Diceros bicornis minor: one gene and its partners. The protein of the gene in region 4 binds, or shares a complex with, the protein of the main gene of each other region. Links are inferred from orthologs where the notes say so. Each region holds a gene or a part of one and is shown on either strand. Other genes may lie near its edges. The genes, in order: CETN3, NUP98, CETN2 and NUP214.

The links.
Region 1: NUP214 (region 4) and CETN3 share a complex: the UniProt entries of both Homo sapiens proteins name them as parts of the nuclear pore complex. The link is inferred for Diceros bicornis minor from reciprocal best matches to the Homo sapiens genes NUP214 and CETN3.
Region 2: NUP214 (region 4) and NUP98 share a complex: the UniProt entries of both Homo sapiens proteins name them as parts of the nuclear pore complex. The link is inferred for Diceros bicornis minor from reciprocal best matches to the Homo sapiens genes NUP214 and NUP98.
Region 3: NUP214 (region 4) and CETN2 share a complex: the UniProt entries of both Homo sapiens proteins name them as parts of the nuclear pore complex. The link is inferred for Diceros bicornis minor from reciprocal best matches to the Homo sapiens genes NUP214 and CETN2.

What each region holds. Positions count from the first base shown.
Region 1 is NC_080740.1:16,898,059-16,904,924, reverse strand, and holds the start of CETN3 (centrin-3), read left to right. Parts: upstream 1-3,863; 5' UTR 3,864-3,954; coding exon 3,955-3,971; intron 3,972-5,794; coding exon 5,795-5,930; intron 5,931-6,866. UniProt on the Homo sapiens protein: Plays a fundamental role in microtubule-organizing center structure and function. As a component of the TREX-2 complex, involved in the export of mRNAs to the cytoplasm through the nuclear pores.
Region 2 is NC_080746.1:58,890,362-58,897,949, forward strand, and holds the start of NUP98 (nuclear pore complex protein Nup98-Nup96), read right to left. Parts: upstream 3,021-7,588; 5' UTR 2,899-3,020; intron 2,708-2,898; exon of another isoform or gene 2,462-2,707; intron 1,862-2,461; exon of another isoform or gene 1,774-1,861; intron 1-1,773. UniProt on the Homo sapiens protein: Plays a role in the nuclear pore complex (NPC) assembly and/or maintenance. NUP98 and NUP96 are involved in the bidirectional transport across the NPC. May anchor NUP153 and TPR to the NPC.
Region 3 is NC_080781.1:136,968,449-136,975,779, reverse strand, and holds the start of CETN2 (centrin-2), read left to right. Parts: upstream 1-4,330; coding exon 4,331-4,390; intron 4,391-4,809; exon of another isoform or gene 4,810-5,075; intron 5,076-5,174; exon of another isoform or gene 5,175-5,270; intron 5,271-5,378; coding exon 5,379-5,558; intron 5,559-6,491; coding exon 6,492-6,650; intron 6,651-6,968; coding exon 6,969-7,097; intron 7,098-7,331. UniProt on the Homo sapiens protein: Plays a fundamental role in microtubule organizing center structure and function. Required for centriole duplication and correct spindle formation. Has a role in regulating cytokinesis and genome stability via cooperation with CALM1 and CCP110.
Region 4 is NC_080767.1:38,433,096-38,440,471, forward strand, and holds the start of NUP214 (nuclear pore complex protein Nup214), read left to right. Parts: upstream 1-4,360; 5' UTR 4,361-4,439; coding exon 4,440-4,484; intron 4,485-6,737; coding exon 6,738-6,933; intron 6,934-7,376. Other genes in the region: AIF1L (allograft inflammatory factor 1-like), read left to right, coding at 284-371. UniProt on the Homo sapiens protein: Part of the nuclear pore complex. Has a critical role in nucleocytoplasmic transport.

The DNA of each region.
Region 1 (6,866 bases), on a different chromosome or scaffold from region 4:
CCTAAGTTGACTCAGAGTCTTCCTAGATAGTTGTTTTCCTTTGTTTTATTTTTCATTCTGTTGATTTTCTTCATATCTCTAATGGTTTTTGATTCTTCATTCATTTTTAAGAGTGGGGTTCAAGATAAACATGGAGAGAGAGAATACTGGTGAGGGGAATCTGGAAGAATTGAAGTGCAGTGGTCTCCCAAAGAGTTTTTTTTTTTTTTTTTTTTTTTTTTTGCTGAGGAAGATTTGCCCTGAGCTAACATCCATTGCCAATCTTCCTCTTTTTTGCTTGAGGAAGATTAGCCCTGAGCTAACATCTGTGCCAATCTTCCTCTATTTTGTAGATGGATCACTGCCAAAGCATGGCTTGACAAGTGGTGTAGGTCCGTGCCCCAGCGCCCAGGATCCAAACCTGCGAACCTGGCTGCCAAAGAGGAGCACATGGAACTTTAACCACTCAGCCACAGGGCCGGCCCCTCCTAAAGAGCTTTTGAATTGACATTTTGTATTTAGCCCTCTTCTCACTTCCATCCTCGACTGTACCACACAACTCTACACCTAGAGTCTCTCTTGGGACTCTGAGAGGTAGATCAACTCTTTCTGAAGCTTTAGTCACCCCCTACAAATCCTGAGATGCCATTTTGATGATCTCATTTGTCAACAAGCTCTTTTGATCAAAAAATATGTCAATATATCTCTTTTGGTCTTTCAGATATTTTTTGAAATACTTTGTCTGCTGGTGGTACCTCTCTAGGTCACTTCAGTATTAGAAACTAATTTCTCAACTATTGTTTTATTAAGGTTTCAGGAGGAAGACTAAACAATTACTAATGCTACTACCTTCTTAAACCAGAAGTTTTAACTACTTTTGGCTTTGGCTCTGGACTTACTATTCTGATTACCATAGTAACAAATACATTTTGATATCCTGTAGAGCAATTTTTGTATTATTATTCTTTTTCACAATTTTTAAGTTATTTTTATGCAATTATTCTTAAGACAATCTTTAGAATAATTTTGTTAAATTCGAGAAAAAAATGTGAGCATTTTTATTTTGATTATACTAAATTTACAGATTAATCTAGGACATAATTAACATTTTTACAGTACTGAATCTTCCCATCTAGAAGTAGAGCTTCTTTTTCAATTTATTCAAATTTCATGTCCTTTAGTAAAATTTTGTGATTTTCTACCTACAGGTTTCCCGTTAAATTTATTTGAAGGAATTTCGTATTGTTATTATTCTTTTATTTTGCAAATGCTTATTGATTTTGCAAATTTCTCTGATCATCAGCTACTTTACTGAATTCTTTTATCAATTCCAATACTGTGATACTCTTGGATTTTTCCAGGTAATCATTTCATCCACACATGATGTTAATTTTATATATCACTTTCTTTTCCTGTTTTATTACAGCATTGATTAGAGTTTCAAAGATAGTGTTGATAACTGCTTTAAAGGTGTCTGTAGCAGAGCTGCTAATCCCATCTTATCTTTAGTAATAGACGATCTGACCCCAAGTTTTAGCAGGGCACACAGTTTTCCAGTTAGAGATTTCTTTTCCCAGCCTCCCTGGTGGAAAGGAGTGGACATGTCACTAATTCTCACTAATAAAATACGAGCAGAAGTGATGCATGTGACTTCCCTGTCATTCCTACAACAGGATATCCTGTTGAAAACATTTTAATTTAACATTTAAAAATCTATCTTCCCAAATTATTTGCCCACAAATATTTGCCCACCCATTCTTCATGAAATTACCACAAACAAAGCACAAAATTCTAGTGTTTCAGGGACTAGGTTTGAGAAACACTAGCATTTTAAGTCTGTTGCTCAAGTTAAAAAAAAGTACCTTTTATATCTAGTTTATTAATATATATTTTATTAGGAATGGGTGTTGAATATTTTCAGTGCCTTTTTGGACATTGAGATGATCTCTTTAACCTAGAATTATAATTAATTAATACAGATTTATATTGTGAACTATCTTTGCATTTTTAAAATAAATTCTATTTGGTTATAGTGAAATGTTCCTTGAAGATAATACCAAATTGATTTTGCCAACGTCCACGATTTTTGCACATATGTTCACTAATGAACATAAAACACGAGGGAGGCACATACAATGGTGAGCGATAGGCACACAGTCTCATCATGGAGCATACATTCAGCGACTTGAAATGCTGTTTAGGATGATAAGGGTTGTGCTAGTTTCAAACATTAAGCTAAGAAGCTCTCCCCATCATGCTTTGAGTTTAAAGCATAAGAATTAGCTCTTCAAGAATTTTTAAAACTCACCCATAAATCTGAGTGGGCTGGATGCCTTTTTATCTCTTGGTACAGAACTTGGGCATCATTTTTCCAGTCCTATCTACAGTTATTGACATAATTCAGTTTTCTGTCTTTTTTGAGTCCTTATCTGTTTTCCTTGAAGTGACTATGTCATTTTGATATTAATATTTATTGGCAGCATGAAGTCAGATAAAGTATTTTAATAATTTTTAAACCTCTCTTTTAAATTACCAACCTTATTAGTGGCAATATTCCCTTTGTTACACTTCCATACATCTGTCAGTTTTATTGGTATTGTCAGGAACCAGCTTATTTTTAGATTACGAGACTACCCTTTCTACTCTTGTTTTTTTTTGGGGGGCGGCGGCTATGCTGTAACTATTAATTTTTAGCTTTAGTCCATCATACTACCATTACTAGTCCAAATTTAGCTTATCCTTTAGGTCTAACATATACACCGTCTCCTTCAGGAAGCCTTTCTTCTGCCCTGCTGTGTTCTCTTTTCTCTAAACCTGTATACATATCTCTCTATAGATATATCAGTGTTTATATATCTTCCCCCTTCCTCTGCTCGACTCCCACCTTCAGGCTATTTTATTCCTTTATGAGATTTGCAGCTCAGGTCAGTACTTTCTGAGTTTTCACAGCAACATTCCATTCAATGCAACAAATATTTACTGAGCATCTATGCATCAGACATTGTATTAGGCACTAGGAATAACGTTAAACGCATGACGGAGTCCTGGCCTTGAAGAAATTCAGTCTAGTACAAGACATGAACAAGTAAACACATTCAATGCTCAAGGGAGCTTCAAGAGACTTGGTTTGGCAGTGTTATATTCGTGCAATTTACAGCACTGGAAAATAAGGGACATAAGCGAACAAATCCGTTAAAAGGAGGAAGAGCAGAGCCAAGGGCGGTGTAGGTACAGCTTCACCGTAAATAGCCTAATAATCCAACTCAGTTATTATCCAAAAATAATCCACAGCACCGGCCTCAGAATCACTCGACAGGTTGTAAGGAAAAAAGATGCAGATTCACACGTACTAGAATCAGATTGGGGGAAAGGGACATTTAAATCTGCGTTTTAAACAAACTCTCTGTGTCCTTAGGCCATCGGCCGTCCAGGTTTTAGAACACTGGAGCCAATTTCGCAGACCTCGAAGTTTGCTACTCCCTCCTACTAGCGGGAGGATGGCCTCCGGCGTGTTTCTTCTCTTCCCTCCCTCTCCTTCCCTCGGAGCCGTCCGTCGTGTCTCCGGAACGTCGCCCACAGGCCGCAACCCTCCTGGGGTGAGGCGAGGTGCAGCCACCCGCCACCCGAACCGCAACGCTGGGACTCAGACACTCAGATCTCGGCTCCGCAAAGGATTCGGGGAAAACTCAACAGGCCAATCCAGGAGGCGGGAGGAGCAGCGGGAGAGGCCGGCAGAGAGGTTTCGTTGATTGACGCGGAAGACGCCCAATGAGAGCAGAGGCCTAGTGCCGCCTCCGCCTTAATGGGCAGGACATTAGCAATTTCAACCAATCCAGCTCAGAAGTGACTAGCTCGTGGGAGGTCCTTGAGGCCGCCGAGGTCGTTGGTGTCTGTTGAACGGGTTGTGGAAGTCGTGCTGCCTTGGGTAGGGGTTTAAAGTCGTTCTTGAGAGAAACGTCTCTGTCCGAAGAGAAAATGAGTTTAACTCTGAGGTCGGTAATGAGGAGGCGGCAATGCTCTCCCCACCCCGCAGCGGGCCCCAGGGCGGGTGTGTGTAGAAGGGAGGCAGTTTGGAGCCGAGGCGAGAGGAAGGGGGATGCAGTTTGGGATGAGGGAAAGGAGCCTCGGCCAACCTTCCCGGGCCCGGACTCCCCACCCTGGAGCCCCTGGTGTCCCGCAGGTGATGAGCCCCGTGCATAGTCATGTCTGGCAGCACTGTGCTTTGGACCGCCAAAAGGACGAGTGGTTTTAGTAGCAAGGAGGAAGTGAAATATCGCGAGGTTTCATCTCGCGGTGTTTCTGCGAGAAATCAGGCCATGGAGCATCCATTCGTTCAGTTCCTCGCTCCTGGTCTGCAGCCTTAACCTCAGCTGCAGTACTGCTCACATACATACCTTTAAGTTTTGGAAGTAAGATAAAAGGCCTCCTTGCTCTTCTCTCGGGGCTCTGCTTTACGGTATAACCGGAGACCCATTTTAGTGACTTTAATTGGTAATGTCGTAGAGTTCCTTATTTCCTGAGTTTCTTTACCTTTCATTCTGTTCCAGCCTCTCACCCTCTCTTGCCCCTTCCCCAGCCCCATCTAGACATTTTACCTTAAAAATATCTATGTAGTTAACGCCACTCTAAAACGGTGCCGTGTTCTGCCAAGGGATAATCGTTGTCCTCTTGGATGGGGTCACTTGTGGGTCTGTTGTGGACTTGGCCTTCCGGAATCCTGGGAAGAGAATGACCCCGGGAATGTCCAAGCTTGTGTGAAGAAAGATCTTCCTCAGCTTTGTCATGCTCCTGGTCCAGTTCTAGCCATCTCTTGCCTGTGTTTTTTTGTAGATTTCGGAGAACAAAACAACTTCAAATGCAAATAGAGAAGGTGTTCTAATAAAAGTAACTGGGTTTTACGTTTTATCGTTTTACAGAATTCTTCTGTTTCAAAATTTGTTCTCAATTACAAGTGTTGCAGCCCCATTTGAAAATTTGGAACACTTAGATCGGCATCTCTTAAGGAAGACATTTCTGGCTTTTAAAATAAATTTCCTTTTCAAGTTTTTCCAGAGTTCGTGAGAAATTAAGTTTACATGTTAAGAGAGATTTAAAAAGACCATTGATTCTTCACGTAATTATATGGAATTAGCCCAAATAGTATTACTTTTTTTGGTGTTTAATCGTGATATTTTTAGACTCAGTATTTTGGCTGATTCGTTAATATCAACGGAAGAAATTATAAAATGCCAAACTATTAGAAACATGTAATAGAAAAACATTTTTAACTTACAGTGCCAAAACACTTTGTAAGTTAGTTGGTAAATTATATGTTTTTGTGTAGCAGTTTTGATAACTTAATGATAAACTATCAAAAGTAAACCAAATATATAGTGATGGTCAATTAGGAATTTTACTTTCTTTTTTTTAACACTTTATATCGTAGAATGATGTGACTAATAAGTGTGGGTGCTTTGTTTTTTGTTGGGGTTTCTGACATAAAAGTAATGTTTCTTATTCACAGTTTTTGTTTGTTCCACCGTGGGAATAAACACAAAGCTAGGAGGAAGGATTTGGTCCTCATTTCTTTTAATAACCTGTAACACTTTTCAGTTTTGGGAAGTGCCGATTTATAATAGCTTAGACTATGGAATGAGCAGGGCTTTGACTCATGTAAGGGAAATTTATCTTTCTTCAAAATACCTTCTTTTTAGAAATTTAGAAAATTATTCGTTGGCTAATTTTTGTGTTCCATTTTTGGAATCTTATTTTAATCATTTAGAGGCATAGGAGAATAGGATTAAAGTGAACTAAAACTTTTTGTTTCATTTCATAGAAGTGAGCTTGTAGTAGACAAAACAAAGAGGAAAAAAAGAAGAGAACTCTCTGAGGAGCAGAAACAAGAAATTAAAGATGCTTTTGAACTATTTGACACAGACAAAGATGAAGCAATAGATTATCATGAATTAAAGGTAATAGTATACTTAAAAATTTTTTTTTCTGTTGAAATGATTTGCATTTTTGACTTGGTTAAAAATACATTTCTAAATAAGTATTTTAGCAACTAAACTTTTTGGAAATATGAAACCATTTTAAACATTCACAGTTAAGTGCTATAATAAAATTGAATAGTACTCCTAACATTTTTTTAGAAACTCCTTTTCACATGGTAAAGTGAGTAGTATTTTAAATGTAAAAATACATTCCTATGGAGGGACTTATTTTTCATTCACGTAATTAAAAGATTTCAAAACTGTAGGATTTAATCAGTTCTTATTATATTCTTCCCACTGGGTTTTTTTTTTTTGGTGACTCATTCTTTTCTCAGATTGGAGGAGTGTTGTCTTTTAATTTGAACATGTTAGTAACACAGTCTCAACCTACTTTCTCTGGTGCAAACAACATAAGTGATGTTTGATGTTGACACAATGCTAATGGGGAAAAATGTCAACTTTAAGGGCTAGAATTATTTATAAAGATACAAGGGGAAATTGGTGTTTGGAGTAGTATGGATCTCACACTCAGCATAATGAGAAAGGTAGCATTTTAGTAGCGTTTTAACTCTCTTTTTCCACTATTTTTTTTTTAGTTACCCAGCTTTGCTCAATTCTACCTTTATGCCTCATCCATTTGTTGCCATTGTTACTATCTTGGTTTGGGATCTTAATTCATACCTGGAGCTTCCTAAATGGTTTCTCCATTTCTAGTTCACCCTGTACACTTCCATTAGATTGATTATTCTAAAATTCTTTTAATAGATTGTTCATTGCTGATAAACCATTAGTGGCTCCTCATTGTACACTGCATGAAGTTCAGATTCCTTTGATTTTTATTGAATGCTCTCCACACTTTTACTACCACCTACTTTTCTCATTTGCTAACTGCTTGCTTCCAGCTGAGCTCTTCCC
Region 2 (7,588 bases), on a different chromosome or scaffold from region 4:
AAGGTATGATTTCACTGAAATAGTGGGAGTGTTTCCTCTACAGCAGTGGTCTCAATCACGGGGAATTTTGCCTCCCAGGGGACATCTGATAATGTCTGGAGACATTCTTGATTGTTACAACTTGGGGGGCGGAGGGGTGGCTACGGTATCTAAATCCAGGGAGAGGCCAGGAATACTGCTATACATCCTACAATACAGAAGACAACTCCCCTACAATAAAGAATTATCTGGCCCAAAATGTCACTAGTGCTGAGGCTGAGAGACCCTACTCTAGAGACATACTGTACCAAATACTCAGGTTCAATTCCAAACGCAAAGAATACACCAAATTCTCAAGAAACACTGTTTATACACCTTGCCTCTAATACCTACTGTTAAATCTCTAAATTTCTTAGTCCTCTAACCTTTCAACAAATTGCATAATTTATTTATTTATTTATTTTTTGTGAGGAAGATCAGCCCTGAGCTAACATCCAAGCCAATCCTCCTCTTTTTGCTGAGGAAGACCGGCTCTGAGCTAACATCTATTGCCAATCCTCCTCCTTTTTTTTTTCCCCAAAGCCCCAGTAGATAGTTGTACGTCATAGTTGCACATCCTTCTAGTTGCTGTATGTGGGACGCGGCCTCAGCATGGCCGGAGAAGCGGTGCGTCGGTGTGCGCCCAGGATCCAAACCCCGGCCGCCAGTAGTGGAGCACGTGCACTTAACTGCGAAGCCACAGGGCCGGCCCAACAAATTGCATAATTACGAATGTGCTCTTTATTGGAAATTAAATATCAGAACTACTACTCCTTACTTCCTACGTTTATTGCCAGCATAAAAGTAATATCACAATAAAATAACATAACTGACTTTATTCATGTCCACTAGCATCTAGATATCTAAGAGCAAGCAGAACTTTTAGGAAACCAAATTCACAGCTTGAAAAAAGTCATGTACCAAAGTACCACATAATATACAAACGGTATGGGTCCTCTATCTGGGCCCCATATTCAAGAGCACACAAATACCCAGATTCTTTATTGACTATTTTTAGGTTTAACTTCTCCATATTTGTTTATTCGTTCACGCAAACACACTTACTGAGAGCCTACCATGTGCCAAGTAACCTGAATACAAAGATAAGACAAAAATATTTTACCACAGTCTAATAAAAAGACAAACAGCTAAAATACAAAATGATTTGTACTATAAATAGATGTATCAAATAAGTGTTATGGAAGCTTGCAGGGGAGAGAATGCCAGGAAAGGCTTCCCAGAAGAGGGTGATGCTTGAACTGAGAAAATGTCACAGTAAATATACCCTGTTCACCTCTTAGTATTTAGACTCCAGTTCTCTTCTGTTCTTATACACTACTGTTTTTCAGTTTTTGCTTTTCATCTAAACAGACCAAAGCAACGATCTGACTGATGTGAACGCACCAAAGTGGCAACTAATTCAATTTCACCAAACCTTAATGAAGAGTCAAAAAATAATTCTATCAAAGTATTCCCCAGTACCTCCATCCTGTCCAAATTCCAGTTTTATTTTTTAAATATCCTAACTTCTGCCACTAAGTAAACATACCCTCTGTTACTCAGCTAACAAAAGTTTCTCTCTGAATTTATGTAACTGTCACAGGGAATGATCACTGCTCTTTCTTTCTTCCAGTTAGTTTCTTCTTCCAAAATGGAGTTTAATTTTCTCACCTTATTCTACTACAATACTTAGAATTCTGTACCAGAGAGGAGCCATGAGTTCCAAGGTACAATAACTACAAAACTGCTGCCTACCTTTATGTGTCTTGTCTATACTTCCCGCTTTCTACTTCAGTACTGTTGTGCGTCAGGAACTGGACTGTCTCTTCTGAGTCCCCAGCAGCTGACACAAATAAAAATTTCAGATTTGGAACAGCAAACTAGCCCATGACATGTAGTCTTATCGACTCGTTTCTAATATATAACATCACCGATAATTCTTTAACCAACATTAAACCTAAAAGTACCTAAACCTAACCTCATGCTCTAGGTTAGAGTACCACTAATGAAGCTTCCGTCTTACCATGAATAGAGCTGGTAGCAACTAAATCTCAAACGCTACTGAAGAAGCTACGTCTGCTTCTAACTACCAAATGCCCCCGCTGCCCCACCCAACTCCCCAAAGGGAATCCTCAGTAAGGGAAGGCTGGAACACTTAGGGAGAGTGGTGTAGTAGAAAACCGTCTAGACTGAGTCAGATCTGGCATTGGCTAATCTTGTCCCTTCTCTAGGCCTCGGTTTCTCCATCTATAAAACTTGCACGTGATGTAGGGTAGGCGGATCGGCTTCACTCCTAAAGTCCTCATGGCTATAGTAATCCAGAAACCCCATCTAGCTTTACATGGAACACGTGGCAGAACAGCAGATAACCTTTTACTCCACTAAACCGACCTTAATTCTCAGATACTGTTTTAAAAAGCTAACAAACTCCCGGCCCACTTACCCTAACCCTCGGGCTGCAAATTTCCCCTGTGGAGAGACCAACGCCAATAAAGGCCATCCCGCACGACCGTCAAGAAGTGCCGGGGGGCCCGTATTCAGGGTCGTCAGGCGCTGCCCCTCACAGGGCCGGCCCACCTAATCACTGCCGGACAAATGAATGAGTACAACCACAGAGAGGGACGCTCCCTCAGCGCAGGCTGCACCAGGAGACTCCCGGGCCCAGACCCCACAGATAACCCATTCCCTCCCAGCGACCGAAGAGCCGGGCCTCGGGGCCGCCGAGTCGCAGGGCCCGCCCCCTCCCTCAGGGCAGAAGGTGCGCGCCGGGCGCGAGACTTCCGCGCGGAGAGGGCCTGGGACGCCCCGCGCACCCGCCCGCCCTGAGGGGAGGAGGAGCCTGCCGGTCCCCGGCCGCCACCGCCCGGGCTCCCGACTTACCGCGGTGCGGCGCGGGATGGGAAGCTCAGGAGTGAGGGCCTAGGCCCGTCCGCCACCCGCCGCTCAGACAGCAGCGCGCGGCCGCCACGAAACCGTCGCAGTCGCCGCCTCCGCCGCCACCGACAGCGACCGCCGCTTCGGGCGCAGCGCGCAGAGGGCCCGACTGCGTCACACGCCGCCCGCCGTCAGAGGCTCGCTCCGGGCGCTCCGCCCCCGCTGTCTGCGCATTGGCAGACGCCGCCGCCACTCTAGGCCCGCCCTGTCACTCATTGGGCAACGAGTCTTTTGAAAGCGAACGTGGGGCCGGTCTTCGGGAGAAGGGGAGAGGAGGAAGAGGAGGGACCCCAGGAGTTAGGGGAGGAAAGGGGAGGGGCGGTGGGAGGCATGGAGTCCCGCCCCTCGCCGCCGCGGTTGGCTGGGAGGGAGTCGTGGCGTCACACAGGGCCCTTCGAAGTGGGTTAGTGAGTGGCTACGTTGGGGTGCACCGGCCTGGGTGTGGGAGAAGAATGGTGACGCTATGCCGAGGCTCCGCCCCCTTCCCTGGACCTGAGAGACACGGGCTGCTGAAGCTGGGGCCAATCAGAGGAAAGGCTCCAGGATGGCCTGGTAACTATTCTACTCTTTCCTGGCCCCAGTCCGCAGGCGGTGATGGGAAGGCTTCCCCATCCTCCCGCCAGCACTTCCTGGCCACACCGCCTGCGAAGCTGGAGGGCCCTCCTGGGAGGTCCGTCTGTCCGAGTAGTTTGTCTGCAGCTGCTCCGAGGCTTTAACCCCTGGCCTCCTTGTCTCCTGACCCATAGCAGCCCCAGCACAACCTTTCCCTCTCTGAATGCCTGGAATAGACGTTAAGAGCCTTAGCGATGCCCTAGGGAATGGCTCAGCATAGGGCTTGGTACAAATGAGGATTCTTGGATTTTCTTTCCTACCTGCACTTTAGGAACTCCTGCTTATTCTTAAAGGCCTGGTTCAAATGTTCCCTTCCTGGCTGGGATGCATTTGCCGATCTCTCCCAGCTTGTTGGGCTAATGCTTGGGCAGGCCTCTGTTACAGCCTTGTTACTTTGTATCCTATTATTTACTTTCCTGTCTTCTGTGCCCGGGATCTTGAAGGTCAGAGCTGCATTTTCTACATCTTGGTGTTCCTTTCCTCTGGGGCCTAGCTCAGAGCAGAAGCGGAATATTACAAGGGGAGAAGGTCGAGCGTGTTCTGGAAACTAGACCTAGTGACTGAGGGTCCCACACAGAATAGCAGGGAGTGTGCTCAGAAAGCAAAGCCTATTCGGATTACCGCTCCACCGCTACCACCTCCTCCTGGGACATCAATACAAAATTGAAATGGGCTCTGCCCAAAACGTAGGTGAACTTAAATCCTTCCAAGTTTTCCGGGGTGGCAATGGATTAGAGATAGTTTGTCAAAAAGTGGAATGGTCTTAAAGATAAAATAAGATAATGGGGCCGGGCTGTGGCTTAGCAGTTAAGTGCAGGCGCTCCGCTACTGGCGGCCCGGGTTGGGATCCCGGGGGCGCACCAACGCACCGCTTCTCCCGCCATGCTGAGGCCGTGTCCCACATACAGCAACTAGAAGGATGTGCAACTATGACATACAACTATCTACTGGGGCTTTAGGGGGGAGAAAAGGAGAAAGATTGGCAATAGATGTTAGCTCAGAGCCGGTCTTCCTCAGCAAAAAAGAGGATTAGCATGGATGTTAGCTCAGGGCTGATCTTCCTCACAAAAAATAAATAAATAAATAAGATAATGGATAGGAGAAACCTGGTACATTGTAGATGCTCAGTAGATGCTTGAAGGAAGAAAGAAATAAATACATGAATAGTCAAGTAGTAAAGCTAGTTTAAATATATGACTCCAGACACCTTCCCCCAACTCCTCCAACTAAACATCTCTCTTTTCCCTCCACCCTCCTTTGTTTGTGCTCTGCATCAGAAAGTCATTAGTCTCTCTGGAGAGTTACAGTAGCTTCCTCACTGCCCTCCTGAACTTTTGATTTCTCACCTTCCAATCCTCAAACCCAATTATGTTTAAACCTCTCGTCTATTTATTCTGGTGCTTCTAAGGCCAGGCACACAGTATAGGTGCACGTTAAATGTTTGACACATGAATGAGTGAATTAATTTCTTAAGTAGAATAATAATAGATGTGTGGGACTTTTGAGTCAGAGAACCTTGGGTTTAAATCTGAGCCCAAACATGTATTAGCTGTATGAACTTGGGAAAATTGCTTACTACTTCGGAACCTTAGTTTCCTTGTCTGTAAAATGGGGATAACAACTATACTTGCATCACAGAGTTGTTGTGAGACTTAAATGAGATCAAGCACTTAGCATGGTACGTGGTACCCAGTAAGCCCTCAATAAATAATAGATATGATTTGTATTCTTTAAAAATGTCAAGGAATTCCCTTGCTAAATATTGTGAGACATGGATTCTGACACAGAAAAGGGGCTCAGAAACATGTCTTGAGTGAGGAAGTGAGTACATTCAGTCCAAAGTACTAGTGGGTGTGCAGGAGCTGGGATGCTTAAATAGTGCATACTTGTTAGAAGACTGGAGGGGGAGACATTAGACAAGGAGTGCTCCAGCGAGGAATTTCCTGTGACCATGGTGATTTCTAAGTAGAAGGACCTCTTGTTAGGTACTCTGGTAAGCATGTGGCCCACAAGCTCATCATTCCCAGGGACTTCTGCCCCAGGAAGGACTTCTGTGCGGGCCAGGGCTTCCTGGGCCCACATACTCTTAATCTGCCTGATTCTCATAATACTCCTTTTGGTTATCATCATCTTCCTTCTTCCCCTCTAAAGACAAGGAGTTTGGTGCGTGTTCACAAACACTTGCTGAGCCAAACTCTGTCCTGGGCATCAGGAGCCCAGAGATGTCCACAGCTCAGTGCTCTGCCCTGGCCAAGAGAGACAGAGCTAAGTAAAGTCCATCTCTGTCCTGGGAGCCCTCAGTCTCTCACCATATGCCCTGAGAACTCACTCTATGCAGTTATGAAGGATTAGTGCTCAGGGAGGAGAGAGACCTGTAAGGACTGCAGAATCATAGAAGGTCAAGAGACTTCCTTCCAGATTGATGGTGCTAGATTTCTTATATGGTGCATTGGAAAGAGCAGCAGAGTTGGAGTCAAAGAGAGCTGAGTTCAAGTCCTCATTCTGCTTACCTTTTAGACCTTGCACAAATTATATTTAGTTGTTCTGTGCCCCAGTTTCCTTGTCTATAAAATGGGCACAATAATTCCTATTTTGGGGGCTGGCCCGGTGGCACAGCAGTTAGGTGTACACGCTCTGCTTTGGTGGCCCAGGGTTCGCAGGTTCGGATCCCGGGTGTGCACTGATGTGCCGCTTGTTAAGCCATGCTGTGGCGGCATCCCAGAGGAAGATGGGCACAGATGTTAGCCCAAAGCCAATCTTCCTCAGCAAAAAAAAAAGAGGAGGATTGGCATCAGATGTTAGCTCAGGGCTGATCTTCCTCACACACACACACAAAATAATAATTCCTATTTTGTAAAGTAGTTGTGAAGGTCAAAGAAGATAATGGAATTTGCAAAGGACTGGGCACATGTTTGGCACATGGTAAGCACTCAGTAAATATTGATTTCCTTCCTCTTTTTGTATAACTTGATAAGGGAAGGTGATGTTTATAAATAGCATACAATTAGATTTTTGTAAATCTTGTGTGAATACCTTTGACTTTTTATTAGAGCATTTAGTCCATTGCATTTAATGAATTTACTGATATATTCAGGATTTTATCTAACATTTTATACTTTCTATGTGTCCTATTTGTTCAGTTTCTATTTCTCTCCTTTATCATCTTTTTTGTAATAATAACTGCCATTTATTGAGGCCCAGCTCTTTGCCAGATTTTTTTAAAATTGAGATATAATTCACATAATATAACATTGACCTATTTAAAATATACAATTCAGGGCCAGCCGTGGTGGCCCTTAAGTTCGAACTTAAGTTCAGTGTGCTCTGCTTCGGCAGCCTGGGTTCGGTTCCCGCGCGTGGACCTACACCACTTGTCAGTGACCATGCCATGGCAGCGGCTCACATACAAAAAGAGGAAGATTGGTAACAGATGTTAGCTCAGGGCGAATCTTCCTCAGCAAAAAAAAAAGAAAGAAAGAAAAGAAAATATACAATTCGGAGGTTTTTAGTATAATCACAATGTTGTGCAACCATCACCACTGTCTAATTCCAGAACATTTTCATAACCCAAGACCCATTAGCAGTCATTCTCCATCTCCCCCTTTCCCCAGCCCCTGGCAATTACTAATCTACTTTCTCTCTCAATGGATTTGCTTATTCTGGACATTTCATATATTTCATATAAATGGAATCATATAATATGTGACCTTTGTGTCTGACTTCTTTCACTTAGCATAATGTTTTCTTTTTTTTTTTTAAGATTTTATTTATTTATTTATTTTCCCCCAAAGCCCCAGTAGATAGTTGTATATCATAGCTGCACATCCTTCTAGTTGCTGTATGTGGGGCGCGGCCTCAGCATGGCCGGAGAAGTGGTGCATCGGTGCGTGCCCGGGATCCAAACCCGGGCCGCCAGCAGCAGAGCGCGCACATTTAACCGCTAAGCCACGGGACTGGCCCAGCATAATGTTTTCAAGGTTCATCCATGTTGCAGCATGCATCAGTACTTCATTCCTTTTTCTGG
Region 3 (7,331 bases), on a different chromosome or scaffold from region 4:
AGAATGCATATAATGAATAAGCAAAGTTGACCTGGAGTTCTATGCCTATCCCCTCCCTCTCTCTATCCCATAATCCTCCTTGTGTTGACAGGGGGCCCTGTCATCTGTTCACCCTAAACAGATGTGACTGGTGAGCTCTGACTCACTGGGCTCAGTGTGTACCAGCTGGGGAACAAGAATTTCGGCACTTGCACCGAGGTCCAGCAAACAGAGTGCGCTAGCAGTTCTGTCTGCCTTGTTCACCACTGTATCTCATCATGAACACAGTGCCTGGCACAAACTGAGCACCCACATCTCCACTGGCCCCATGAGTACATGGCGTGTGCACATGCCAGGCAGACTCCCTTCTGCTCTCCACCACATACACACAGACGCCTGCCTAAGATGCTACATTCATGAATACCCACTGCCGGCTTCTCACTCAATTTCTCCAGATACTCAGGGAAGCATGATGAAATGAGAGGGCAGACAGCATTTGGAGTGATGCAGTCACAAGCCAAGGACACCCTGACTTCAGACTTCTGGTCTCCAGAACTGTAAGAGGATAAGTTTCTGTTGTTTTTAGCTACCAAGTTTGTGGTCATTTGTTACAGCAGTCACATGAAATCAACACAAGTTTTCTTTGCAGTCCTGAACTCCAAATAGCACAGCTGCCACTTCCATAGCCCCCCTGTACTAGTAGAAAAGCAAGAAGCCTTAAAGCCTGCTCTCCGCAGTCTCTCGGGGATGATCCGGGAGGTGAAAGAAGAACCCATCCTGCCCCTGTGGATCCATACTGTTCAAACAATGCTCACGCGATCCTCAGCAAAGCAGCCTCTTGTAAGAACAAAATCAAATCTGCTTTATCTCGAGTTATACACACATTGTAGTAAAGTTTGTAAATACTATAAGCCAGATAAGAATTTTGGTGATACTTAGCCATCTCTAAGGAATAAGGCAGATCCCACTGGCACCCCTCAACCTAAATCCCCCATGTGCTACACGGTAGGGATAAAATGCACATCAAGAAGAGCTCTGATTGAATAGACATTTCTCCAAAAAATATATACTTTACACATGGCCAACGAGCACATGAAAAGATGCTTAACATCACTAATCATTAGGGAAATGTAAATCAAAACCACAATGAGATATCACTTCATACCCATTAGGATGGCTATTATCAAAAAAACCCAGAAAATAGAAAATAACAAGTGTTGACAAGGATATAGAGAAACTGGAACCCTTGTTCACTGCTGGTGGGAATGTAGAATGGTGCAGCTGCTGTGGGAAACAGTACGGTGGTCCCTCAAAAAATTAAATATAGAATAATCATAGGATCAAACAATCCACCAAACAATATCCCCCAAAATTGAAAGCAAGGATTTGAACAGATATTTTTACACCCATGTTCACGGCAGCACTATTCACAGAAGCCAAAAGGTGGAAGCAACCCAAGTGTCCATCGACGGATGAATGGATAAGATGTGGTATACACACACACACACACACACACACACACACACACACACAATGGAATACTACTTAGCCATAAAAAAGATGAAATCATACCATTTGTGACAACATAGATAGACCTTGAGGATATTATGCTAAGCAAAATAAGTCAGATGGAGAAGGTCAAACACTGTATGATTTCATTCATACATGGAAGATAAACAAACACATAGATAAGGAGAATAGATTGGTGGTTACCAGAGGGTAAGGTGGTGGGGGGAGGGTGAAAAGGGTAAAGGGACATAAATGTATGGGTGACAGATGGAGATCAGACTTGGTGGTGAACACGATGCAATCTATACAGAAGCTGAAATATAATGATGTACACAATGTTATAAACCAATGTGACCTCAATAAAATAATAAAAAGTAAAAAAAAAGCAAATGTGGTATATACATATAATAGAATACTATTCAGCCTCAAAAAAGAAGGGAATTCTGCAATATGCAACAGCATGGATGAACCTCAAGGACATTATGTTTAGTGAAATAAGAACCTTGGGGACATTATGCTAAGTGGAAGAAGCCAGTCATGAAAGGACAGATACTGTATGATTTCACTTGTATGAGGTCCCTAGAGTAGTCAACTGAGAGACAGAATGTAGGATGGTGGGTCCCAGGGGCTGGGGGAGAGGGAGGAGGAGTTAGTGTTTAGCAGGTATAGAGTTTCAGTTCTACAAGATGAAAGAGTTTTGGGGATGGATGCACAGCAATGTAATTGTACTTGACGCCCCTGAACTGTATACCTACAAATGGTTCAGATGGTCAATTTTCAGTTCTGTCTATTTTACCACACATACACACATAGCTCTGAATGGGAAAATAAGACCTCAAAGAGCATGTTCTAGGGGCTGGGATCGTTAAGGTTCACACATCGGAAGCCTCAAGTCTTTTTCCTTTAAAACAGTAGGTCTTTGAATCCATTAGAAACCAGTATGTACGCCCTCTATACACACTGGGACAAAGTCTTAGGCTAAAAATGACCTAGGAAAAGAGACCCACATTCTAATGGTGAAATCCAAGTGCCTCGCTCAACTTCTGGGCAAGGGGAAGAGGGCTGCTGATAGGATTCGATGAATAGAGAAGTGAGTGAGCCCAACTCCTCCTTCCTGCTGGGGAAAGTTCCCTGCCACTGAGTCCTGGAGACAAAAGGAAGGGATAGTCTGTCCATTTCAAACCAGATATATATAGAGAGAGACACTCAAGTGTTCTCTTCTTCAAAAACATGGGAGATCAGCCTCTTTGTAAATGGAAATGCAGAGCAATTCAGAGGGGTGTGTTGGGGTAGCTGGGGCCCTGCCTGCTGCCTTCCATGGAGTCAGTGCGGGAAGCTAAAATGTGGCTACTGCAAGCTCATCACTTTAGTCCATGGACAGACAACATCTGCCTGTGCAAGAAAAATGCAAAGAGGACTTAAGACAAAACGCACTTCCCCCAGGACTCAATCAGCTCAACCTTGTCTTTTCATGGACCTGTGGGCCTCTCTGCTTGTCTGTTTACTTTTAGGACACAGAAAGGCCCTGGCTTTGAATTTGTGCTGGCCACTGAGAAACTCATCAGCATCCTGCGAGCTTTAGCTAATGCTGTTCCCTCTGCCTGGAATATCTTCCCCTCCTCTCCATGGTGAGTTTCTCCTCATCCTTCAAGGCCTAGCTCAACTGTCACCTCTGTGAGACCTCGTCCCCCTCCCCAGGCAAGGTTAGCTGCCTCCTTAGCACTCATTTCTGCTCCCATTCTGACACTTAGCACGCTGGTTTATACTTTTTTTCCACGTCTGTCTTGGCTCACTAGGCTGTGAGGGCCAGCAAAGAGCCTGGAACGGAGTACAGGTTGAATTGTGCTGCTGCAGCTGGCCTAAGAGGCCTCATCTGTAGAGCAGCAATCCTTCCTGCTGACCTCACAGCCGCTGTAGGGCTCAAACAAGAGACGTCCAGTGACTTTCCCAAAGTCACACAGCTGGTACACGGTCAAGGCAGAATTTGTGGTTGTTCCTTCTACTCTGGCAGGATGCCACCCCGCAGACTGACTGGGAAGTAGGGTGTGAAGGGACATGATGTTAGAAGGACTAGGAGGGGCAAAACTGGGTAGAAGGCTCAGATGCCAGGCTGAGTGTGGACTTTATTCTGCAGTCACGGGAAGCCTCTGAAGGTTTCAGAGCATGGGGGTGACCTCAGCAGAGCTGTGAGAAGCAGGAAACAGGGGGCCTACTTGCCAGTTGCTCAGCAGAGATTTACCAAGCACCCACCATGTGCCCCTCCCTACTCCAGGTACTGGAGGGCCAGCCATGAACAAAACAGAGCTGCCTGCTCTCCTGGAGCTCACCTCCTAGTGGATGGGTAATAAAGAACAAAATAAAGAAGTAAAATACACAGTAGGTTAGAAGGTGATACATACTATGGGAAAAGAGTAGAGCAAGGTGCAGGGCTTGGGGGTACTGGGGGCTGCAGTGCTAAATAGGGTGCTTAGGGTGGCTCACTGAGAAGGTGACAGTTGAGCAAAGACCTGGGGGAGGGAAAGAAGTGAACCAGTAGGCAGAAGGAACAGTAAGAGCAAAAGTTCTAAGGTAGGAAGGAGCCTGTGCATTTGAGGCCAGCAAGGAAGTGTCCCGGGGCCATAGCGAGCCAGAGGAGGAGTGGGGGTGGAGGGAGTCATGCCAAACCTTGCAGACCATGGTGAGAACTCTGGCTTCTGCTAGGTGGGAGGCTGCTGCTGAAGGCCTGAATTGGAAGAGGAGCCACAGAGGTGGAAAAGAGAAAAGAAATGGCATTCGAGGGGGAGAACTGATAGAACTTGGAGGCTGGTTAATGGGGACGGGACAGGAAAAGAAAGAGTCAAATATGACCAAAAGGTTTTCGACCTGGTTCATGCTCAAAGGGGAAGAGGGCAAAGGGCAGAAGGTCAGTGAACACTTTAATTTAACGGACACTAATAAATCTCAGGCTTTTCTCAGCCTGAGAAACTTATGCTCTGTCCCCTGCCTCCCTAAATGCTGCCCCAATGCCCAGAGGAGATGCAGGTAAGGGCTGAGAGCCACGGAGCGCTCCTACACTGCGCTGGCTGAGGAGGGCAACCCTGGACCTCCAGCTCCACTGCTGCAGCTCCATTTCAGCCACACCCTTGCACATGCCCCCTTGTAGTTCTCCAAGCACGCCTCACACTTCCAAAACTCCTCAGGGTGTCTCGACCTGGAATGCTCCTCCCTATCCGCCTTGAGTGTTTGGGTGTCAAAAAGAGTATATCTTGATGACTTCTCCCCCTCATGCTCGCTCATATTTCCTTCACTCTCTTCAAAGTCCGTTCCCCGCTCCCAGCTCACCTGCCTGGGCTGCTTTTAGCCAGGTGAGAACTAAAGTGATCCTCTCTTGGAATCTGGTCTGGGGGACAGGGCTGCTTTCGAAGAGACACCCTCAAAGATCCTCTGCTGGATTCAGCTTCTAAGTCCCAGCCGTCTGAACCTCTGCGACAATGCTCGGCCTGCCCCTTTCCTTCTCTGGATCTCAGTTGCTCCGTCAGTACAGTTTCCACTCCAACACCCAAGGTCAGGGTCTTCTCTGGCCCCTCTGACCCTAATTCTTAGGCCGGACCAGAAAGCACCCGACCCGGATCGTCCACCCAGCCCCTGGCCCTCCCGCCCTGTCGCCGACTCAAGGCAGCCTCCAAGAGCGAGGTGGCAACCCTTACTTGTCCGAAGGCGCCCTCCTGGCCGGCCTCAGACAGCACGCCCGCAGACAGCACCCACACACCTCCAGCCGCCGGCGACCACCCTTTTCGCTCTGCCGCATGAGCTGAGGATCAGCCGAGCCTCCTCCACTAAGGGGATTGGCTCGGCTTGGAGCAGGCTCAGCCAATCGGCGCTCGCGGCATGATCCTGCCCAATGAGGCCAGGTCTTGGCCGCGAGCGCACCGCCCCCCGCCCCGGCCCTGGCCTTTGTCGGGTTAGCCCCACCCACTCCAGCCCTGCGCCAATGGGGAGCGGGGGCCGCGCGCGCGGGACAGTGGGATCGGCGCCGAGTCAGTGTGTACGTCGGTTGCCGTAACAACAGGCAGCGGAGTCGGTCGGAGATGGTGAGTGCCGGCAGCCCTGTCGCGCCTGGCGGGCAGAGGCTGAGCCCTTCCTAGGCCTCGGCCTGGCCCCGCTGCCTTTGCTGCGCCGTTCTTGGCTTTGGCGCGGCCCTCCTTCCTCTGAACTCTTTCCCGGAAGAGTAGGGTAGAGACGCCCGGCGCCCTGCTGGGCCTGTGATTCGCCGCTGCCTCCCCTTCACCCACAGCCGGCCTCAACCCGCCTCTTGGGCTCCCCTGGCCTTCCCCGGCCCCCTCGGTGACCGTCAGTGGGCAAAGAAGACTCGGATTCCCCGCAGGTCTCAACGCTTCTCAGACGCTGGCCTCCTGGCCGCCTCGCTCTACCAAAGTTTCCGCACAGAGCTGGGGGGAGGTTTATTATGTTTGATTGTTAACGTGCATTTTACAATGTAAATATAGGGACATTTGCGAGACGCTTTGAGCTTCTTGGAGAAGGCACAAATGTACCGAGTGGATTGAGTTTTATTATTCGATATTGACAGGCTATACATCTTAACTTAGTAATATTTGGCCAAATCTGGAAGTAATCAGAAAGTACTTAGAGGGAACTGGAGTACCGCAAGTGGGTGTTGTAAGGACGTTTCTATAATTAGGATCCCCCAATTCAAGGAGAGCTGATCATCTGTACAGTTATCCACAGTCAGCTCCTTGGCTAGCTCTCTTTGGGGGTGATTTTCAACAAGAGATATCCAAAAGAACAATTCTTGGAAACCATAGTAAAGAAGAGAGAGGGATAGAGGTGCATGGAAAGACTCATTATTCTTTCCAGTAAACTCTATTATCTCTTCTGCTAAGCAAAGCTTTGGAATTGGTTGGTATAAACTATTTTTAAAATAGATATGGTTGTCTGTAACTTTTATGTAAAGTATGGACTAAATTGCATAATATTGTGCTTATGTGTTTGTAAAATGTCTGAAGGCCTCCAGCTTTAAGAAGGCAAACATGGCATCAACTGCCCAGCGAAAAAGGATGAGTCCTAAGCCAGAGCTTACTGAAGAGCAGAAACAGGAAATCCGAGAAGCTTTTGATCTCTTCGATGCTGATGGAACTGGGACTATAGATGTTAAGGAACTTAAGGCAAGCCCTGTGCATTCCTGCTCTGCTGCCTTGCCTTTCCTCTGCCTCTTTATCTTCTTTCCGCTCTACCCCTTTTGCCCTCTTCTCCCTCCAAAAAATAACAGGGGAGGATGCACTGTGCTCTGTTTTCCTGTTTTTACTTACTTCAAGTATTATTAAATAAAATTGAGCACAAATATCGATTTGCTTAATGTTATAGTGTTTCCTAATCATTTTAACATGATTGTGTCTGATGCTGGCTCAATAGTCTCAATGCTGTCATTTTTTGTCCCTCTAGGTTTAGATGTGCTTATTGAGATGATCCTGTTTTCGTTGTAGGTGGCAATGAGGGCACTGGGATTTGAACCCAAGAAAGAGGAGATCAAGAAAATGATCAGCGAAATTGATAAGGAAGGGACAGGAAAAATGAACTTTAGTGACTTTTTGACTGTGATGACTCAGAAAATGGTAAGTTAGCTAAAATAATCAGCATATTTTCCACCCATAATGCTGCATACATTTGAATCATGTAAGTGTCTTCACTGAAGAAAAGTTAATACAAACTGGAGAGTTCAGCTGATAAAGGATAGTATTTGTAACTGAAAATTAGGATGCTTCGGTTCTACTTAGCTTTCTTCAAGGCCACAAAGTCACAAGAAAAGTCATTTTACCCTTTGTAAAGTAGTAAAAGTACTACTGCTG
Region 4 (7,376 bases):
ATAAGTCAATGATCTGGAGTCCCCTCCTGCCTTGGACTGCCTGTGTGGCTCTGAGGAGTCACATTGCCACTCTGCGTCTCAGTTTTCTCCTCTGTAAAGTGGGACTAGCAGCCCCTTCCACATTGCTGCCTTCATGGGCTTCCGAGAAGATTCCACTTAAGGATGGATGCAAGGGCATTCTGTTGAGAACCCTGCTGATGTGAGGGCTGGGATGATCTTTTCTTGGATGAGGGAAGGGGTCTTAATCCTGTTTTGTTTTGTTTTTTCTCCATCTCCAAACCAGAGTCATGATGTTTGAAGGGAAAGCCAATGAGAGCAGCCCCAAGCCAGTCGGCCCCCCTCCAGAGAGAGACATTGCCAGCCTGCCCTGAGGACCCCTGCCTGGACCTGCCCCGCCCTCCCTGCCCCTGTTCCTCCTCCTGATCTCGCTGCCCTCTCGACTCATTGTGATTTGTCTTATTTGTTTTGTTTGGTCCTTGTGCGTTTGTTTGTTTGTTTCATTGGCAGAATCAGTGATCTTTTTGTAAAGCACAAATTATCTGCCTTAAGGGGGCTCTGGGTGGGGAATCCTGAGTCTTGGGTCCCCTCCCTCTCTTCTCCCATCCGTCCCTTCTCCCTGTGCAGAAGGGCTTGACATCAAACCAAAAACCGGAGGGGCAGGGCTAGGACAGGGAGACTGGAAGCCTGTGATCCCCACGCTTGAAGCTGGCACCGTCCATCCTTCCAGGACGTCTCTGAGCTAAGTCCAGGCTAGCTGCCCTGGCCTGGGTGAGGACCTCAGCCCACTTATAGGAGACCCTGGGGTAGCCTCCTTAGGGTTTCCTTGGACAGCTTTGTTGTTCCAGTGCTCTTGTGTTGTCCAGGACGTGGCCACTCAGTGTCCCACTGCCCCACCTGATCCCCCCTCAGTCCACACTTCTTCTCATCCTCAGTGAGGTGACATAAGGAGACAAAGAGAGGGGCTTGGCAACTTGAGTCCTTCAAGAAGGTTCAGGAAGGAATCCTCTGGCTTGCCCCCTGGCCACACCTTTACAGGCAGCTCAGAGGGAGGGTGCAGCCTGCCGTCCCTTGCTGGGGCAGCAAAGGGCTTTGGAGGTAGAGGGGAGGCCAGGGGCCTTGAGGGGGTCAGCTCATCTAGTCCTACCTTTTATAGTCCTACCTTTTAGGGAGGATGCTGAGGGCATCCTCAGCATAGGAGATAGGGAGATAGGAGATATCAGCATAGGAGAATGAGGATTAAAATGCTCATGGCAAAAAGAGTCAACCCCACTGTTAAGCCAAGAGCTGAGAAATAGGAGGTTGCCTTTCTCATTCAAATCTGCTTGAAACCTGACTGCACTTCCCCCATTTGCCTTTCCACCTTACTCACACCATTCATTCATTCATTCATTCACTCAGTCATTCAACAGATATTTATTGACAACCTATTATAAGCTTTAAGTCCCCCTACTTTGTCCTGCCATGTGCTGTGTCCACTGTCTCGCTTACTCATCTCTCCGTTTCCAAATTGCCTAAAACCTTGAGCTTGGGGATTGGATTGGGGTCACCTGTGTCCTTTATTATGGACTCACAGGGTTTCAGAGCCCGGATCCACCCTGTAAGTTATCTGAGCCAGTCCTCTCATTTCACAGGCGAGAAAACTGTCGTGGTCCACAGGGATTAAGTGCCTTGCGCAAGGTCAGGGGTTAATCTGGAGCTGGAAGAGTCTGGACTGAAGCCCACGTGTGCAGATGCCCTGCCCATGCTTCATCTCTGCCCTGGGCTGTCTCAGTCAGGGATGAAAACAAGGGAAGGGGCAGGGAGGGGCATGCTCCTAGGTCAACACTTGAGGAAGGCCCAGGCCAGGACTCCCCCTTCCCGGTGCCCCCGAGTCAGCATCAGGGTTTGGGTAAGGACCAGGCCTGCCTTTGCAGTCCTGCCTTCCCTAGAGCTTCTCGGCCAAGCTGCTTCTCAGAACTCATGCAGGAAGGTGTCACTCTCGGCCCCATCTTGGCTGAGCAGGAACCCCAGCCTTGACCCCACCTGTGTTCTGGAGCCCCTTACCCTACTGGCTCAGAGATGCACTCATCCATTGAACATATTTATTAAGCACCTGCTATGGGTCAAGAGCTAAGAACCCAGTAGGGAAATAGACTCCTGGAATTTAGAGTCTTGTGGGGAAGTCACACCCAGACGATAATGAGTGAGATGAAGGTTAGGAAAGAGGGGGATATGAGGTGACTGCACTGCAATCCTGGGGGTACCTAGCTAGGCCCCAGACTGGGCAAGAGTCTTGGAGAAGCCTTCGCAAAACCTTAAGTGGAAAGGTCTGGGGACTGTTGGAGGTTGGAGCTAGTGTGGGCTCCCTGCAGCTCCTTAGTGACCCATAATCAAGGGCCCAAGGAGCGGCCCTTACAGCAGCTTGAGGGTATGGAGCCGGTAGGGGATGGGGAAATGGCCAGGTTGGGTTAATCTGCTGGTCTAAACCAGTTCAGGAGCAAGATTATTTGGCCATGACTGGCTGATCTTCAGCCTAAGGAGCTGCTTCAAATGCACAGGCCCAGCTGAAGTTTAAACCCCAGCAAAACATTCCTTCCTCTAAATGTAAAATTTCACCCCACCTCCTGCCCTCCCTTGGTGGTTTTTGTTTTTTCGCCTGAGATCCTTACATGAGCAACTGCCTGTCCCCACCCCTTCCCACTGCCTCTCCTCTCAGAGACCTTTGAGCAAGGTAAAGCCTTCCTTGACTACCCATCATAGTCTAGGACTGTTCCTCACTCAGAGAGGAGGGCAGAACCAACCAGGCTTATTTCAGCAGGTTCCACACTTTACAAGACTGCAGGAAGCCTCCTTAAGGGAGGAGAGCAAGTGAGTGTGTCCCCAGCTTCTGGAAAGGGCAGGAAAGAGAGTTCTCTCATTGGATGGGGGGTGTCCTGGGAAACCTTATCAGTTCCCTTCACCATTTCTCGGAACTCAACCCCTGGAGGGAGTGAATCTCAAGAGCGGTCCCTGGAAAGGGGGTCTGCATGTATTTCAGGTTGTGGCTATTGGCTCTAGGACTGTTCTCTGGCTAAGGGCTCAGCTTCTTAGAACTTCAGCTGTCTTCTTTCTGAAAGACCAAATCTAACTAATGTAACCAGCAACTTGGGGGCTGCCAAGTATGGCTTTGTCCCTGCAACTCAAAAGGAAGGAGTGTGTCGGGCAAGTTCAGGTGGATGCGGTATGTGTGTGTGTGTGAGTGTGTATGGTGCCGGATATCGTGTCTACAGACTGGAAATAAAACAGACAAACTTATCAATGTCTTCATTGGTGTATTTTGGGGATGGTTTGGGGCTCAGCAAATTCAGAAAAGCTATGTAATATAGTAACAGACCGAATGAATGTGTCCTGTGTGCTAGGCTCTCTTAAATGCTGAGCTTCATTTACTCCTCACAACAACCCCATGAGCCAGGTTCTACTATGTCATCCTTGTTTTATAAATGAGAAGCAGGCTTGGAGCAGATGAGCAGTTTGCTGACAACCAAACAGTAAGTGGCAGAGCATGGAGCTGACTCACCGGCTCCAAGTTAAGAATCTTTGTCCTAGAGCATTTATAATATAATTCCACTACAAAAACCTCTACGTAGGACTGTCTAATAGTCATCAACCAGCAGATCCAGAGAAGCTGAATTCTCAGGCTGCCTCTGCTACTTTCTGACTAAGGGGCACTGGGGAATTTTCTTAACTTCTCTGGGCTTCCAGTTACTTCATCAATTAAACGGCAATGATGCCCCTAGGTGACTAGGATGTCTTGAAGATTACATAACACATCTGAAGTGTTCTGCGGTTTCCAGGGTCTTGCCCTGTAAATGATAACCTTGAAAGGAGTAAACAAGGCTGACCTTTGGTGCCTTTTAACCTCCCCTTTCAGCCTTCGTGCTTAGACACGTGGAGAGGTCCCACCCCGCCACCTTTCTGAACCTCTTTTCCTCCACACCCCCCTCCAAACCTCTCTCAAGAGCCGCCCCTGGAAATATCTGTGAAGTAGCGGGAACTATTAACCACCTACACCCCGGGGTTACTGTGAAGTCTCCAGCGAACAAACGGAGCGCTCGCGCGGGCGCCCGCTGCCCAATGAATGAAACCAACTCGAGGCGAGCCCGCGCTGAGCGCGAACGCGGGGGCGGCACGTGGACTCTCCCGGGCGCGAGCATGGGCCCTGGGGCCACGGGCCCTACTCGGCCGAGCCGGCCAATGGGAGGCGGCGGCCAGGATTGCGCGCGACTTCAGACGGGCCCCCAGCCTCCCTCCACCACGCGGCGGACGGAAGCGCGTGACGTCAGCACAGCGCGCCGGAAATGTGGCGTTCGCTGCGCGCCGCTAACGCCGAGGAAAGGAAGTTGGCCTCGGGGCGGTCTGGGCTGTGTGGGCAAGGCCGCGGGCGGCAGCGGCGGCTGCTTCGACCAGCTGAGGGCGGCACGATGGGAGACGAGATGGATGCCATGATCCCCGAGCGGGAGATGAAGGTCAGAGACTGGCCGGGGCCTCCCTCCCTTGCTTAGTCGCGGCGTTGCCTTGGAGCCGCGCTGAACGGCGAAGCGCGGGTTCTGCCCCGCCTCCGGCTTGAACAGTTGCCGCGTTCCGAGTTGTCACCGGCGCGCCCCGGAGCACTCTGCCCCGCCGCCGGCGTGGAAGCCCCCCCGAACGCAGTTTCCCCGCCCCTTGCTGCTCTTGTGCGCGCCACTCGAGTTACCCTGGCTCCTGTCACGTGGTGGTCGGAGGCGTGGCGATAACTACCGTGTGTTGAGCGATTACTGTGTGCCAGGCACTGTGATTACCGTGTGGTGATCATCACAGCAACGCCGCGAAGTAGTCGTTAATGTAGAGGAGCAAATGGGGCTCGGAAAGCAGCTTACTCAAAGTCACATTTGACAAGGCGGCTGAAATCCAGGGATGTCTTGTTTAAGAGCCTCTCTTCTTCACTCGCACGGTACCACCTCTGTAAGGTGGGCCAGGCTTGCCTAACACAGAGCTGGGGTTCGTCACCTGTCCTACAAAACCTTTGGTTAAGTGGAATAGGAGGACTGTTCTGGTGCTGGGAATCAGCCAAAAAAGAGGGTCAGGTGATCCAAATGATGGTTATAAACACCTGAAAGGGAGTGAATTGCAGGAAGATTTTAGGCGTTTGAACAAGAAATCACTGAAATGTGTTTTGGGTGGTAATCCATACCGTATTTAGAGTAGTGCTTCTCTCTTCGTTCTTGAGAATCACTGTGGGTGAGCCACCCAGTGAGAGTGTGGCGTTTTCCTCAGAGATGCCGAGGTGGAAGGAAAAAAAGGTTTTAAAACCACAGCCTTTGAGGATGATAGTCTGCCTTTGAGTTACTGATTATAACAGAAAGGAGAGCTCTGCTGTACCTCTTCGTCCCACTGGCTCCCTATGCCCGTGTGACTATGACCCAAATAGGAAATTTGGGATGATCAGGATGAGAATGACAAAGACTGAAAATTTTATTCTACTGTATGAAACCACAGTATGGTCTCACCTGGAAAGTGGTGTGAATTTCTGATCACCGTACTCAGGTGGAGTTAAGAAGGGTATTTCCTTTAATCTTTTAGCAAATATGTATTCAACATCGAATCCAAGGAAATTAGTATGTGGGGTATGTTAGGGGTCCTGTATGAAGCGCCATAAGTACAAAAATGGAGGCTGAGAAAAACTCTCTTTGGCTTTTACAGTTTTGGAATGTAAGCAAAAGGGGATTCACATTTTTTTCACCAAAACTTTGACTTGAAGATAGGTTTGGAATTGAAGGAAAAAAACTGTATATAGTACAACTTAACATAGTGATTGGTAAACCTAGGGAACTCTGTTACCGGGAGGTGGTACACACTGAAAATTGTCTTTGAAAGCATATAGGTAAGTTCATGGAAGACTAGGTGAGTCAGGCATTGACAGATCGGGGAAGGCTCCCAGGCCCTGAGGCCCTTGAAAATGGAAGGAAATGAAAACTGATAGTGGGTGGGGGTTGGAGGTGTGACAGTGGGTGTGGCAGAGGTGATGGCACACTTGTGGGAGGGAAGCGGTGTTGTGAGGTGAGGCTCTGTAGGTGGATGGGTCAGCCCCTTCCTGGCCTTATAGCCTGCCTGAAGGGTCTTGGACTTGTGTTTAGATGTCTTTTAGCATCTAGGTATGTTTATAGGACTTGAACACCAAGACATTGACCATACATATCCTTTTCTGTGATGGATTTTTTTATCATTTGGTGCAGGTAAGCCCATTCTTGGGATCTGGTTCTTTCTGTGGTCATTATTTCCATATATATATTTATTGAGGGCTGCACTGGAAGTTCCAGCTTACAGCAGAGTTGGAGAATGCTTTCAGTATTTAACAACAGTTTGTTAAGCATTACTCTGGGTCCTGAGCAATGCATACCATGAAATAGGACAAGATTATAAATAATAAAGTGCAGCTTGTGTGGTGGTTTAGGACAATAAGTTAACTAGGAATTCAGAAAAGATCAGTGTGAGCTGGATTAGTCAAGGAAGGCTTCATGAAAGAATTTTGAAAGTTTTATTTCATTCAATAAATACTAACAAGCAGTGTGCCAGGCACCACACTATGCATAGGAAACTTAAAAATGATTGAGCCACACAGTCTTTGGCCTCAGGGTAGTATATCTTTTTGTTGTACTGGAATTGGGTCTACTGGAATATAATGACAGACATTTAATTTCCTGTTTTCCCTAAATTGGTCTTGTTTTGATCTCTCACAACAGGATTTTCAGTTTAGAGCACTGAAGAAGGTGAGAATCTTTGATTCCCCTGAGGAGTTGCCCAAAGAACGCTCAAGTCTGCTTGCTGTGTCCAACAAATACGGTCTGGTCTTTGCTGGTGGAGCCAGTGGGTTGCAGATTTTTCCTACTAAAAATCTCCTTATTCAAAATAAACCTGGAGACGATCCCAATAAGATAGGTAAGTTACTTGCTTTGTGTCGGTAGTAGAGAGAGGAGTGTGGTGAAGTGTGAATGTAGTTTCCTTCCCAAGAAAATCATTCCAGTATTAAAATTAAAACTGCTGTTAGTCCTAAGGTTGACCCCCAAGGAGAATAAGTTCCAGGTAGGATGCTGGAAGCCTTTCAGGGTGTTCTCTTTGGTCCTTTGTATTTCTCTTTCAATGAGTTGTTCCTCTGAGCTCAGGGGGAAGAAGAATTTACCATTCTGCCATGCTTTTGTTTTCGCTCAGTTGAAGTTGGGTTCTGGCTCTCTAGGAGAAGGATTTTGTTGCATGGCTTTTTAATTAACACAACAGTCCCATCCAAACAAATGGGAATGTGTACTCTTTAGACCATTGTTGCAAAAATATGGGTACAGGACACTGTTTTCAACAAGGGCAGCAGCCACAGTTAGTTTCCCCAG